3 linked regions of the Xenopus tropicalis genome follow. Each later gene encodes a partner of the first gene's protein in a complex. Links are inferred from orthologs where the notes say so. Each region holds a gene or a part of one and is shown on either strand. Other genes may lie near its edges. The genes, in order: asf1a, cdan1 and tlk2.

Region 1 (5,239 bases):
CATATCTATCCATTACTAATCTGCAAGATGCCATTTCTTTCTAGACACTTGGGACTAAGGGCTGTGGCACATGGGGAGATTAGTCGCCCACGACAAATCTCCCCGAAATGCCATCCCACCGGCGAGAATGGAAATCGCAGCACTGCATATGCCATCCCACCGGCAATTTACATTCTCACCGGTGGGATGGCATTTCCTGGAGATTTGACAGGAAAAAGTTTGAAGTTTGACAGCCACATAGCAAGTACACTTTTAAGGGCTTTGGTACATCGGGAGATTAGTCGCCCGCAACAAATCTCCCTTGTCGCGGGCGACTAATCTCCCTGTGTGCCAAAGCCCTTAAAGTGTACTAGCTATGTGGCTGTCAAACTTCAGTGGGGAGCAGTCCTTGACATGTTATATATTGACACACTGTCTGTCTGTACACGTAATTCTTGGGGGAAATTAGTCATGGTAGGCAGGAGCATAGAGACAGAGACATCAGTTCTTCAGGCAAAAAACACAAGTTTATTTTGGGGCAAACTCTACCCAACATAAACATCAGCAAACTGTTCATCATATATGTTCATGATTAGTACCCTATTTGGAATTCTCACCTTCCAGGGTAACTCTCATACTCTGGAACCTTTTCCTGGGGCTTCTCACCATCCCGGCCATCTCACACTTTGGCTTCTCACTAAGCCTTGTCGTTCTGGCACTCATACACATGGCTCCTTGCAGTGGCAGGCAGCACCCCCAGCCCCCTGGGAGTTCCTAACACAGGCAGGCAGCATTCTTGCTCTGTGTCCTACTCTGAAAGACCTTTCTCAGTGACTCCTGGCACTTGGTTACAGCTTTCTCTGCTCTGAGAGTGAACCCCTCTCTGTGAGTCCCCCTGTTTGTGGCCATACACGTAGCAATTCTGATGGTCACAGGATCGTTTGTTTCCCCCACAACGTTCAGGGCTGAATGTGGAGGTAGAAACAATAGGAATTCTACCTCCACCTGCCGATTCAGCCCTGAACGCAGATTTTGTTTGGGCGCCTTCAGTGGCACCCGATCAAAATCTTTTAACCTGGGTGATCGATGAGACAGCCAATATCCACAGCCTTTGCTATATCGGTTGTCTCGTCGATCCGCCATACACGCACCGAATATCGTTCAAAACGAGGTTTCGTACAATATCATTAGTGTGTTTATGGCCAAAATAAACATTACATCACCTGGCAGTTGTTTTTCAAACTATTGCAGAGTTTGTAAGAATTTGTATGAATTGTTTTCTGGAGGAGGAAACTTTGTAAAAATGAATGTAAAGTATATGCCATTCCACCGGCGATTCACTTTATTGCCAGAGGAAAGGCTTTTCAGGGAGATTAGTTGCCTGCGATAGCTGAAATGTAACCATGGGGGACTAATCACCCTGTGTGCCACCACCCTTAATGGTTCTTCACTAAGAAGAATATTTTATATAAAATCAATATCAACTTACCTGAAATACAAACATATGTCGGCCTGCAGGTACAGGTCCCACCAATACAGAGTCTAAAACCTGGTCATATTCTTCACTTTCAGCAGAGCCCACGTAAATAATTTTCCATTCTAAATCTGGTGGAAAGTATAATGTTAATTGAAAAGGAATGGGAAATTAGCTCTTCAGCTATCTATAAATATAAAAGTAGTCTCTTAGCCTGATGCCACACAGGGCTGATTCTCAGCCTGAGGAAAACTATTGCGTCAGTTCAGGTGCAGGCACTTGTAGCAGATATGGGTTGCTGAAATGAGAGGCAAGGAAGAAGGCTGATGCCAGCATAGGGACTCTGTTTTACGACAGGCCCTGTGTGGCATCAGCCTAAAAAAAAAGTTCATTAGATGACATCCTAAACATAGTGGGGTTTTTTTTTTTTTTTTTTTATCACCGTGGGATGGCATATGTATTGTTTCTGTCTTCTGAGTCTGAATTTTTCTTGTGAGGCAACTTTTGACTTTTTCAGTTCACATTTTTAGTAAATGTCAGACATTAATGAAAATGAATTTAGTCAGATTTTTAAAAATTGCAGCAGCTAGCTGTATCAATATATTGTTCTTCTGAAAGTGGAAAAATGGATGACAGATTTGATCATGGAGAACTGGACATCTTTCTAAGGTGACACATTTTCTTGTTGTTATTCGAAAAATTATTATATTCATAATTTTACCATTAATTTGGGTTAAAAAAGGACAACTGCCCATCAAGTTAACCATTTTTAAAGAGATTCATAGGCAGATTGTCAGTGTGTGTTTTTATTTACTATGTTGGGACAGTGATTATTAACGCACACAAGCGCCCAGTTCCATGAATATGTACATCTAAATGCCCCTGTGTTACTATTGAGTTTGTGCCCATTACACAGTGAGATGAGGGAGGGGCTATAATTCCACCTGTGACATAAAAAAAGATGAATGCAAGGAAGAATAAACATCTTTTCTCCCCATAACAATGCAATAAACATCCTTATTTTTGTATTTTCCCATGTATTTATATAATAAAAACTGCAGGAAAAAAAAAATAGAAAACAAGCTTTTGCTTTTCACTCCAGGCAGCAGGTCAGCATTATACAAGTAACCGCTATTTAAAATCTGCTGTCTTTGCACTGCAAGAGCCCCAGTGCAGAGGTCACATTGCGTGTCCTGCATTGTCTGTGTCTGTTTCACACTCATTAACCCGACCCCCTCCCTCTCTATCCACAAACAAAACATGGCTGCTGCTCCTGCCACCAGGGCACCTTTCAAACTTACTTTCCCAGTGTGTGCAGCAGCATTCCCATACACTCCCAGCTAGTGCAACCGCAAGTTTTTTCCCTGCTTGTCTACGTTAATGTGCCGGCATTTTATTCCTGTCAGCGCCTGCTCTGCTTCTTAGCCAAGCATCAGGCCTGTGGGAATCAGTTTAACCTCTTGTGCACTAGGATGCTTCTTTAGCAGACTGCCAAAAGAAAGAACTGATTGTAACTCACCTTCAGAAAGGTCCTCTATGCACTCAAAGGTGATTTCGAACTGGAAAGGATTGTAGAAAGGAGAAGGGTTATCCAGCACCACCACATTGTTCACCTGAACCTTTGCCATATTTTGGAAATGCTCAAACAATGGGGATGGTGTGAGAGTGCAGGCAAGACCCAGCAGTGCTTATCTGTGCAGAGCCCCTGTCACTGCTTCTTGCAGTTCTTTACACCAGTCCTGAGAAACTTTCTTCCAAATCAGCTTATTTGTTTGTTTGTTTTCTTTTTATTTCATCCATTGATTACTTTCAATGTGAGCAACTCCACTCTATTTTATTTATTATTTCTCCCCCCTCCCCTGCTCTCCTATCTTACTTCACTACACCACATTCTGTTCTGTTGCTATAACAGCGTGTGTCCGGATTGGCTGCTCCCTGGCCCTTCCCATAATGCTAAAAGCTACACGACAGAAAAAGACAGACTTCTCATGACCATGGGAGCTGGAAATGTTTAGCAGCTGCTCCACCTGCTGGCTGACAGCTCGAGCACACCTCAGGGAGGATCTCTCCGCACTGACAGGCTCAATAGTCTTGCTGCATCTGTGTTTCCTAGCGTCTGAACAGTTCAAAAGTAGTGAGCTTTGCCTCTTTTGGCACTTTGAGGCTTTCAACAAAAACTTCGCTTCTTTAAAAAATGTTTTTCTCTATCTCCCTGGTGTACAAATTAAGATATTCAGGGATCAGCTGAGTTTATCTCATAAGGATATGCATGCAACCAATTAAAGGCTGTTGCACCTGGGGCTCTGAATCCCCCCTGGCAAAATGTCCTCTGGGGAAAAGCTGTTAATCAGAATTTTTGTTTTTTTGGGGTTTTTTTTTTGCTCTTTATTTACTTTTATTTATATTTAAAAAAAATTGACAGTAATGTAGCAGTTACTTATAGGACTATATGGTAGAACCCCTATTTCTGGGAAAACATAAAAAATAAAATGTACCTTGCCTGTATGGGAGGACAAAAAAACCTGCCAATTCTGGGAAAACATAAAATTAGGGTTCAACCATAGTAAATTAGGTTGAAAAAAGACACATCCATTAAAGGAGAAGGGAAAGTAAAAACTAAGTAAGCCATAAGCACTCACAGAAACACTGCACTGAGTCCTTCAAAAGAAACACAGGATTTCTTGTGATTGCTTGTTTTTTGTGAAAATGTTCTTCAGTATCAGACTTCCTCTCTTTTAGGGCTCCTTCAGGTTTGGGGCATGAGTCTGCTCAGTTCTTTTACTCTCCCTCTCCCCCTCCCTTCTGCTTCCCCCTCCCATAAGAACTCCCACCCTTAGGAATGTGTGATTCGCGCTACCAATGGCTATAACTGCAGCAGGAAGCTACCAAGACCAAGCTAAAATGGCAGCTGCTATCGGAGGGAGCTTCTAGGGCTCTTTACTCAGGTATGGTAAAGCTTTCTGCTGAATAAATATAGCGTTCTAGGTGGTACTAATGTGGCAAATCTATTGGCAGTAAAATGCTAAAAATTGCTTTTCTTTCTCTTTCAAGTTCAACCTTTTGTGTCTATATATAACCTGCCTAATTGCTAGTTGATCCAGAGGAAAGCAAAAAAAAAAAAAAACCCTTCTAAAGCCTCTCTAATTTGCCTCCTGGATCATCTAAAACTATTTTCAATGACCATGTCTATCTAATGTATCTGCCAGAAGGACTGATTCATAGGGAGAATTTCACAACTTCACATCTCTCGCTGAAAAAACCCTTTCTGAATATTTAGATATAATGTCCCTTCTTTTAATTGAAATGGATGCTTTTGTGTCTGCTGGAAGGACCTACTGTTAAATAATTCACTGAAGACCAAAACTGCATGGCATATTCTAGATGGGGCCTTACCAGCGCTTTGTAAAGTGGGAGAATGAGCCCTGCCTCTAGCAAATCTATGCCCATTTAATACAATTTAACACCTTGTTTTCCTTGCAGCTGCTGCCTGGCATTGCTTGCCACAGCTAAATTTATTATCTACAAAGACTCCAAGGTCCTTCTCTATGTCATATCGGGGAGGGATTTGTCGTGGGCGACTAAACTCCCTTGTGTGCCAGAGCCCTTAATGGTATAAGTAGCTTGCCTATTTTTACATCCCAGGTGTACAACCTTACATATATCTTACATTACAGGATGCCACATCCTGGATGAAATTAATTGGGCTGAATTGGCTTGTGCCATTTGCAAACACTGATACATTCTTTATCATGCCCTCCCTTAAGTCATTAATGAACAAATCAAATT
Region 2 (4,565 bases), on another chromosome or scaffold:
TAAGCAACTTATTCAGGAATCCCATTTCTCTCTCTTCAGCAAGGATCAGCTTGTACCTAAGATAATAAAAGTGGATCTGTTAATCAGAGCATTTCACAGAAACATTCACGGTAAGAGCACAGTACAGGCCTGCTTTCTCCATGAAGTGACCCAATGAGTCTCCATATAATAGATTATTATAAAATAATTGAATAAATGTTTATTAAAATTATAAGTGGAGCAGGCCAAAGGTCATAATTATATTCAGGATTGCCACATCCAGCTCAGTGGCCTAAGTGTGTTTTAGTGGTGAGCCGGTCAGAAAAACCTAAACCTGCACCCGACCCTAACCTGCAAACTGTTGCCACTGTAGGTCCTGTGTCTTTCAGCTGTGTGTGCTGAATCTGAGCATGCCTTAGGGTCCAAAAGGAGCAGTGTACTTTCCAAACTGTCCCGCACCCAAAACACATGGGTTGCAGGTCAACCCGCACATCACTGGTGTGTTTGGCTTGTTACAGCAGTCCACAAATCTGCATATTATTGCAATGGGAGAGTGAGGGCAGGGTATAACAGAGGGCTCAGAAGACATGGCGCAAGAGATGTGTAGATGTGTAGCTACAAACACAACTTATTTTGATTCTGAGCAGCACCCTCCTCTACTGTCCTTAACACTCACACATCCTGCACTGTGTATCTGCTTTAGTAAGATATCACCGTTTGTAGGTGTTATATTTTGGGTGTTATGTTTTGTATCACCTTGCTTTGGGGAGATGATGGTGCTATATAAATAATACACTGTGCATTTAAAGTTTTCTTTCACATTTCCCTGCAATTAACTTGGATCGCTACGAGCAATGTATTTTACTTGCATCGATCCAAAAGGAGAGAGCTAGTAAGAAAGCTTTAAAGAGGCAATAAGCGAATGACATTCTATCAGTCTTATGAATGATTTGGGAAAAAAAAAAAACGGGAAATGGATTTCCTGGATAATTCAAATTAGGTTAAATACGGTTTTCTGGGCATTCGAAATCAGTGTTTTAACTTTGGTATCATGCCATGTTTCAATTTTTGCTGATCTACAATTACATGCAAAGCATTACAAGAGTAGAATAGTATCTAACGTCTGCGCATAATATGAAAGAATAAACAAACAAACAAACACACACTGTGGATATTGCATTTTAATTTCAAGAATTCTAATTTCTAATGCAAACATAAAAATGCAATAAAAAAAGAAAAGTAATCACACAGTGTAATCAGTGTTTAAAATACCTGATTCAACAAATTACACTTTTATATGCAAAAAACATAAAACAACAATGCAAAGTACAATTACGTCACTCAGTTTAATGGTATTAAAAAAAAAAAAAAAAAAAAAGAGCTGCCTGTGAAGTACACCACTCAGTGTGCCAATAAAGGTGGATTATTCATTTGGCACTTTGAGCCTTTACCTGGCAATACACAGAATCTACATACCTGGCAGGCAAAAGGCTAAATGTATTTTTATACAGATATTACTTCAAAATTAATTTGTCTTGAACAGCAATAAAACAAAAATGTCAAGTTCTCATGCTGTAACTCTGCTGCTCACCTGTACAGGTGCATCAATAGTGCAAACACTTTCTTGTAATAATCCAGAAGGGGAGCAACTTGATCCACTAATGACAAATATTCTACTACCCATGGGACAGTCAGCACAATACGGTAATTCTGCATTGAACGCCTCAGCAGCTGCAACACGTCTAGCATGGGTAAAGTCTGAACAAGTAAAAGACATTTTCAGTGAATATTTACAATTAGACTCAAAGTTTGTATTTGTACTTATTGCTTATGAGCCTTGTCAAATTAATGCTGGTGAATACTAAGGCTACTGATACACCGGAAAAATAAATAAATCTATGTGTAAAAAGTTCCAAGCTGATCCCGGCCAAAGTTGATGGAGTTTCAACAAATCCTTTTAATTCTAAACAAACAAGAAAAACTCCAGCGCCATTGGCTAGGGGAAGAAACAACAAACTGTATATAGTGTAGTATTTTCTTTTAACAACACACCTTTGTGATACAAAGTATAATTATACAAGTGATCAGTGGAAAAAAAACCCCAAATCTTTAAAACCAAAAAGATCTAAAAACCAATATTCAGCACCTAAAACAAGTCGCCTATGTAGGGTAGTTTTATGTAAAAGGAGAAAATTGAAAACGGGCACCCGGTGCAAAGACCTATTAGTTATCTGGGGGGTTTTCCACTGGTCACTTTTATTATTATACTTTGGATCACAAAAGTTGTGTCATTAAAAGAGAATACAACACTATATACAGTTTGTTGTTTCTTACCTTAGCCAATGGCACTGGAGTTTTTCTTGTTTGCACTGCAACACTGGGCTGTTTTCGACCTGCGTATAAGCACAAAACATGAAACAGCCCCTCTGCTTCGTTCTGCAGTCTCCTGTGTCTGCACCCAGAAAACAATGGTGGACCACAGAAGGAAATGGAAGGGTTGTTTCTCGGCTGGCACTTATACACAATCAGAGACACAGTCCAGTGTAGCAGTAGCCTAAGCTTTGAGGAGAAGGTTGCTGAAAAAGGCTTAGTTCTAACTAAAGTTATAACTCTAGTATATATAAACTGAGGTATTATTTAATTATTTCACTCTATCCCTTTTACATTATACATCCCTATGGATAATGTCACCTGGTAGCTTCTCCACTTGTGTATTTGGAGAAATTGTTTATCCACTGCCACCGCTGTTACAAAGGCACTGACAAGCACAGCATCCCCCTGTCAGTAATCACATGGTAGATTTCATCCTAAAACCGAGCAATTCTGCATTGTGACTGTCAGCAGCACTGCATTTACTTGACCTACTCAACATGCTGAGGTTGAATTTGTAGATGTCAGTATGTTAGTTCTGTTTGCATTAGGCCACCAAAGAAGGGCTTCTTTATCCTACAGCACACTTAGGATCCTATCCACTCAGCTCGTGAGTGTAGTGACATGAATGCAATCCTCCTTTCACCAAGCACAAGGTAGATTTCAGCCAGAAATCATTTGTGTCTTCATTCCTGTATAAAAATTCCCCATTGTGCTCAGACTGGCAGACCACTAATATTCTTGTAAATACATACAAAACTAGAAAAGACCAAACTAGAACACCTATACAGAGTTTTAGGTGATTTATTCTTTACCTGGTTTCTTAAAGCCAAGGCAGATTCTTGCAGTTCACTGGTGAGCGTTTCTGTTGTTCTGTACGGTAAGAAATATATAAATCCCAGAAACTTTGCCAGCAGACGAAGGGTCATGATGACAGAAGCAAAACGAATTTTTTCATCCTGCAAAGATGGCATGTTAATTTTATGGTTATTTTTTGGGATTAGAGAAAATGTATGAAATGTGTTGGAAATAATTATAATTGCACTACCAAACAATTAGCAATTCAAAACCGCAAATATGTAGTAGTTTTAATGATACCATGCAGTCAACCTAATATTACCCTAGACGTTGCAAAGGACATACTAAGGAGCAGCATATCTAGCCAATCCACTGGAACACTAAAACCTTCCACAGTTCTTGCAGTTGTTCTCTTAGGTGATCCACAACTCTGCGGGCAGGTAATATGCTCACAATTACCATGGAATTGCAAGTGCACCTGTAAATCAGGTTTTCATTTGGAAATATGGCAGTCAAGATTTTTGATCACCAATCGCCTGAAGTGTGCGCACATTTGTTTCCAGTTTATTGACATGCAAAACAGTAGGAAATTATTTTCCGCCAAGCTGTGTAGCTATTGATTGCTCATGCAATTAATCACTAGATACAAATCAGAGTTCAAAGTAAGGCAAATTAATTCTAAATAATTAGAATGGGTGAAAAAACAGTGGCTTGTACCTGCTCATCCATATCAGATTCTCCATCAGCTGGCTCATGCCCAATAATAGAGATGCCATCCAGTTCTTTTATCTCTTGGCACAGGCTGTCCATCAGATGTTGATTAAAATGATAACTATTAACCAGAACAGACAGATACATTCAAGAACAGAATTTCTGCCTAGAGAGATCATACACAAACCATAAAAAAGGGGGAATTTGTGTTACTCACTGTTAAATCCCTTTCTCTTGGGATGTCTGTGGGGCCATGAAGTACAGCATCTGCCAGCAGGAGGCAGGACACTAGAGAAGAAGGAAGACTACTCCTGCCTGCTGCTGCTATACACCTCACCACTTCCTGATCTAGTCATTTTTGTTTAACAAGAGGGCAAGCCCAGAGTCCCACAGACACCCCAAGAGAAAAGGATTAAAGAGTAATACAAAATCCCCTTTTCTCTTATAGGTGTCTGAGGACACAGGGGCCATGCAGACATACCAAACCTGTCCCCTCAATACAAATGGCAGGCCAAAGTGAGGATTCAGAATTTAAGCAACAACGGCCTGCAACACATTTCTGCCAAAACGAGCATCAGATTCTGCAAAGACCTCAAATCAGTAAAATTTTGTGAATGGAGGACAAAGTAGCAGCCCTATATACGTCTGCAGAGGCATGGTTCTGAAAGGCCCAGGAAGTGCCTAGTCCCCTAGCTGAATGAGCTGTG
Region 3 (4,565 bases), on another chromosome or scaffold:
TTGTTGGCTGGAGGGGTTTGGCCCATTGCAGGTGGTTTCCGTTTTGCCAGCATTTTTCTTTGCCTTTCAATCTCCTCCCTTTGGGTATTTATACGTTCTTGTTGCCTGGGAAAAAAAAAATATATATATTTAGTGTAATATATAAGTGTGCCACAAACTTAGAGACAAGGGATCCACAACTTATTTTACTTGTGAGGCACACTCGGATGTATAAATTGTTGGTGAGCCACAAAAGCATGAAGAGAGTTTTTTGGGGCTGCAAAATAATGCTGTGATTGGCTATTTGGTAGCCCCATGTGGACTGCTCGTCTGTAGCAGAGTCTGTCTCGCTTCCAAAACTTGCATCCAAGCCAGAAATTTAAGATCGGCCAAAATTTTGAGGCCCCTGGTATCATCCTCAAAGGGGGGCGGGGTGAAGAATATATTGCTCACAAGTCACTTGGGGGGGGGGGCTGGGGGTCACTGATATAGACTGTACGCTCAGAAGCTTGGAATTTTGGAAGAGGAGGGAACTATAGGAGAATGTCAACATTTTGGAACACATATTTGCATGCAGCCTACTCTTCAAAATATGAGTACATAAAAAATTACCTATAGGTCATGTTAATTGTTCTTTGCCGACAGATGTGCATTTTTTTTTCCCAAAGATTTTTATTCATGCATTAATAACATAAAACAACAACATTATGACATTAGTTCTACAAGAGTTTTTCATTTTCATGTCTATGAATACATTGTTTTTTGTAATCAGTAACAACCTACTCGAGGTACTGTTCAAACTTCTGCTAAGGAGGGGGAAGACTTTAGGATTTTTGGTGGAGGTTCACATTCCCAAGGACAAGATTATATGGTGCTATTCTATAGTTTCAGCCCATTGTCCCTATACCTTGACATATTTTTGAGGGCACCCCCTTGCTGTGTAAGTAGGTTGTATCAGTGGTAGAAGGGCTTTAAGCTAATTGAGCCAACTGGCGATTGTTGGGGGAGGATGTGCCGTCCATTGAATGAGAATACATTTCCTGGCATTAAACAGTAAGGTTCTAAAGAGGTTTCAGGAGATAAAGCCACTGGACAGAGTCAAAGGCTTTGGCTGTATAAAGAGAGACTACTACACGGGAACCTTTACTGATCTGGTTGGCATGAATATTAGTAAAGGTCTGCATTTTTAAGAAATTGTAATTTAAAGTTCCTAAATCTGACTGTCCCTTTTCGACCTGTCAGGTATAGCTTCTAATGCTAATGGCCAACTGCTGTACAAATATGGTAGCCCCCTTGTAGGTAATATAAAAGCATTGGGCAAAAAATGGCATGCAAAAACAATGTTATGATTTATAAGAAGGTTTTATTTCTGATGTCAGTATCTCTAAGCTTTCAGAAGAGCAATTTCACAGTGGGCACCTCCAACAGCACATAATAGCAGACATGGCCTTGATAAATACATACAGTGAGATTTTGGATCTGGAAGGTTAAGATGTGTCAGAAAAGGGTGAAGCTCCCAGACACTTAACTGTGGACTTATCATATCATATCTGAGAGATTCCTGACTGTCTTCTGAATACCATCCACTGGTAAAGTGAAATTATTTTTAGACTGTGGTGGGTTTTGACAGTTTAGATGACATTAGAAAGAAAAAAACATGAAAAGCTCTCTTTGCTAATACATATTATACATATTTTGTGAAGGTGAGCTTCGCCCTGTGGTATATAAAAATCAGACGTTTATCATGTAAATCAATGACAGAAGTTTATGCATGTAAAAAATGCAGTAGTTTAAGATCATTGCACTGTAAGTGCTGTAATCACAGTAAGTACAAACACTGCATGCAGACTATTTCTTACTTGATAAGGTTCTGGAAGGCATAACCATCTGTCCACTGCTCAGTGAAAGAGGCCCCATGTCGGACAGTAGTAAAGTGTCCCAGGCGCAGGCGATCCTGCATGCTTTTATCCCGACAAGCCATTTTCTCCTGTTTAGACTGGAAAGAGAATTTAAAGTTGTTTGCAGAAAGCTTAAAAAAATTTGCTCTCACCAGTGCTTACAACTAAGTTAAACACAGTTCTGCATAAACAACTGCTTTCTAAACTAAGTTCTGTTGGTCCTGTTAATGCAATTTGTATATAGATAGAAAATTGGCAAAAGCATGTGTCAGTGGTACATACTTTAAAAAATAAATTATTATTGGATTGCCACAGGGTTCTGTATTGGCTCTACAATTTATTCACTAATGATTTGGGGCTGGGTATAGTAAGCAATGTATTGGTGTTTGGGGAGACAAACTATGCAGGCCAATTAAGTTCATACAGTATGTGGCATTGTTTGCAGCAGGATCTATACAATCTTGCAATCTGGCTAAGCAGCAGATTAGTGCTGATAAATGTAAGGTTACATATTTGGGACCAAAACTAACAGGTTAATTGGCTTCAGACATAATTAACCCCACTGTGTTGTCTAACTGTCTAAAGGGACTTTACACTGTAAGCTGCACTGGAGCATAGACTGATGGGAATTGAAAATAATTCTGTGGAAATGTGATGGCTTTATGTAAAGGAAAATCTGATCCTCTGGCTCTCGAGTTAACAACTGAATCATATCAGGTAATGCAGATTTATATACCACATACAAAATTTCTTGCCCAATGCAGCTTTTGAGCCTTGGTCAGAGCCTACCATTTTAAGTTACTACACAGTGCACGGAAAGCTGAAAATGTTTAGGAATCTATGCAACAGATATTTGCTGTTTCACGTTACTTATGCTTATTAAAGTAAATGTTTACCTTCTCTATGAGCAACTTTTTGCTCATTGTCACGCATCTGTTTAACCGTTCTTTATATTTTTCCAGCATTTTCTTCTGCTCGTCCATCTGTCGCCTTAGGTCACAGTTTACCTAAAAACGAGACAAAAGTCAGGAATCAAAAAAAGAAGTCATAAAAGGGGACATGTAGTGTGAAAAACAAGTATATGCAATTACAATAGCACCTTTATATAAAAAAAGGGCAGGATGCCATTCAATCAACATTTAGGCAGATATATCTTTCCCGAGATGCGGTAGTCTACCCCAATCCTACTGTGCTTCTTATTAAGCATTGTTAGAACACACACTACTTATTTGTAACAGAGTAATAGCCTAGCCCTAGAGAGAGGATATCTAGTCATCATTTTTTTGGTTTATGCACCCCTTGAAGGTCCAACCATTGGTCAGGGCCCTACTTATAGGTTTAGATATTGGTAAATATTGGTGCGTCACAAACAGCACCATAACTGACTGGTTTAGGTGTATGTAGGACATTAGGAACTGTTCCCAAATTTCACACAAAGTGGCATATAGGCCGAGACCCTCAAGCCACTGATCCAGGTTTGCCACAGGACCATACCAATAATTTAGGAACCACTGATCTACAGGGAGATGTCAAATATATGGTGAAGTTAAGGCACTCAAGTCATTGAGCGCCAATAAGGATATTGTGATCAAAGCTGCAGACAAAGGTGGGTCGGTGGTAATTTTGGATGCTGGTATGTATGAGGCCGAGGTGATGCGTCAGTTATTAGATTTGGACACCTATGTCCCATTGGATAAGGATCCAACGATCCGGTTCCAGAAATCATTGAATGAGCTATTACTAGAAGGGATGTCTATAGGTGTCTTAACTAAGAAAGAATATGAGTCTCTCAACTGTATCTCTCCCACCATACCCATTTTTCATGTTCTCCCGAAGGTCCATAAGTCTCTGCAAGATGTTAAAGGTCGACCTATAGTGGCCGGCATTGGGTCCTTGAATGAAGGTCTATCTGGCTATGTGGATAAGCTACTAATGCCTTTGGTGCTACAATTGCCAACCTTTTTAAAGGACACCACTATGTGTATCAATAAGCTAGTTGACCTGAAATGGAAGCCAACCTACAGGTGGTTTTCCATGGACGTTACAGCTTTATATTCGTCTATCGATCATGGGGCTGGCTTGCATGCTATCCAATTTTGGCTGGATCAGGAAGGGGGTTTTCCCCCAGAACAGAGGGATTTTATTTTACAATCAGTACATTTCCTTTTATATACCAACTATTTTCTTTTTGATGGGAAGTTCTTTCTCCAGAGACGTGGGGCCGCGATGGGAGCTTCATTTGCCCCCACTTATGCCAACCTATTCATGGGTTGGTGGGAGAGGCTCCACGTCTTTGGGGATCGAAACCCATTCCGCAGCCAGATCATGTGCTTTTATCGCTATATTGATGATTGTATAGGAATATGGGATGGAGATGCATTTTCATTGCTATCCTTCATTGATTATTGTAATAAAGCTGTACAGGGTATTACTTTTACTTATGAAACAGATCTGACAAGGATACCTTTTTTGGATGTGACTTTCTCCATTAAGGATGATGTAGTAACCACTGATCTGTATCGTAAGCCTATAACACGTAACACACTTTTACATGCTGATAGTGGCCACCCTAGGACATGTATAGAGGGCATCCCAGTGGGACAGTTCTTGCGCATTCGCCGAATTTGCTCCACATGGGATGCCTTCCAGGAACAGGCCATGTTGCTATGGGACAGATTTGTCCAGAGG

What was found.
Region 2: the proteins of asf1a (region 1) and cdan1 are in contact, whole or in part, in a cryo-EM structure (PDB 9CVC), measured with the Homo sapiens proteins. The link is inferred for Xenopus tropicalis from reciprocal best matches to the Homo sapiens genes ASF1A and CDAN1. Residues at the interface, in NP_054753.1 of Homo sapiens: Gln5, Val6, Asn7, Asn8, Val9, Val10, Val11, Leu12, Asp13, Pro15, Asn20, Pro21, Phe28, Asp37, Val45, Ser47, Ala48, Glu49, Ser50, Glu51, Glu52, Asp54, Asp58, Ser59, Val60, Leu61, Val62, Gly63, Pro64, Val65; in NP_612486.2 of Homo sapiens: Arg195, Arg196, Ile197, Asn198, Thr200, Val202, Lys390, Leu391, His470, Glu471, Glu472, Pro473, Gly474, Trp475, Asp476, Lys538, Arg541, Arg544, Leu545, Gln546, Arg548, Leu549, Met550, Ala551, Pro552, Gln553, Ser554, Ser555, Arg806, Lys807.
Region 3: the proteins of asf1a (region 1) and tlk2 are in contact, whole or in part, in a crystal structure (PDB 7LO0), measured with the Homo sapiens proteins. The link is inferred for Xenopus tropicalis from reciprocal best matches to the Homo sapiens genes ASF1A and TLK2. Residues at the interface, in NP_054753.1 of Homo sapiens: Val45, Ala48, Glu49, Glu51, Asp54, Asp88, Val92, Thr93, Val94, Leu96, Arg108, Gly110, Tyr111, Tyr112, Arg145, Thr147, Phe149; in NP_001271262.1 of Homo sapiens: Arg11, Arg12, Gln13, Leu15, Leu16, Glu17, Arg19, Phe20, Thr21, Gly22, Val23.

The regions. Positions count from the first base shown.
Region 1 is NC_030681.2:73,626,080-73,631,318, reverse strand, and holds the start of asf1a (histone chaperone ASF1A), read right to left. Parts: upstream 3,410-5,239; 5' UTR 3,082-3,409; coding exon 2,973-3,081; intron 1,585-2,972; coding exon 1,469-1,584; intron 1-1,468. UniProt on the Homo sapiens protein: Histone chaperone that facilitates histone deposition and histone exchange and removal during nucleosome assembly and disassembly.
Region 2 is NC_030684.2:105,928,445-105,933,009, reverse strand, and holds part of cdan1 (codanin-1), read right to left. Parts: intron 3,980-4,565; coding exon 3,865-3,979; intron 3,309-3,864; coding exon 3,165-3,308; intron 1,738-3,164; coding exon 1,571-1,737; intron 57-1,570; coding exon 1-56. UniProt on the Homo sapiens protein: May act as a negative regulator of ASF1 in chromatin assembly.
Region 3 is NC_030686.2:15,271,810-15,276,374, forward strand, and holds part of tlk2 (serine/threonine-protein kinase tousled-like 2), read right to left. Parts: intron 2,885-4,565; coding exon 2,774-2,884; intron 1,976-2,773; coding exon 1,839-1,975; intron 106-1,838; coding exon 1-105. UniProt on the Homo sapiens protein: Serine/threonine-protein kinase involved in the process of chromatin assembly and probably also DNA replication, transcription, repair, and chromosome segregation. Phosphorylates the chromatin assembly factors ASF1A and ASF1B.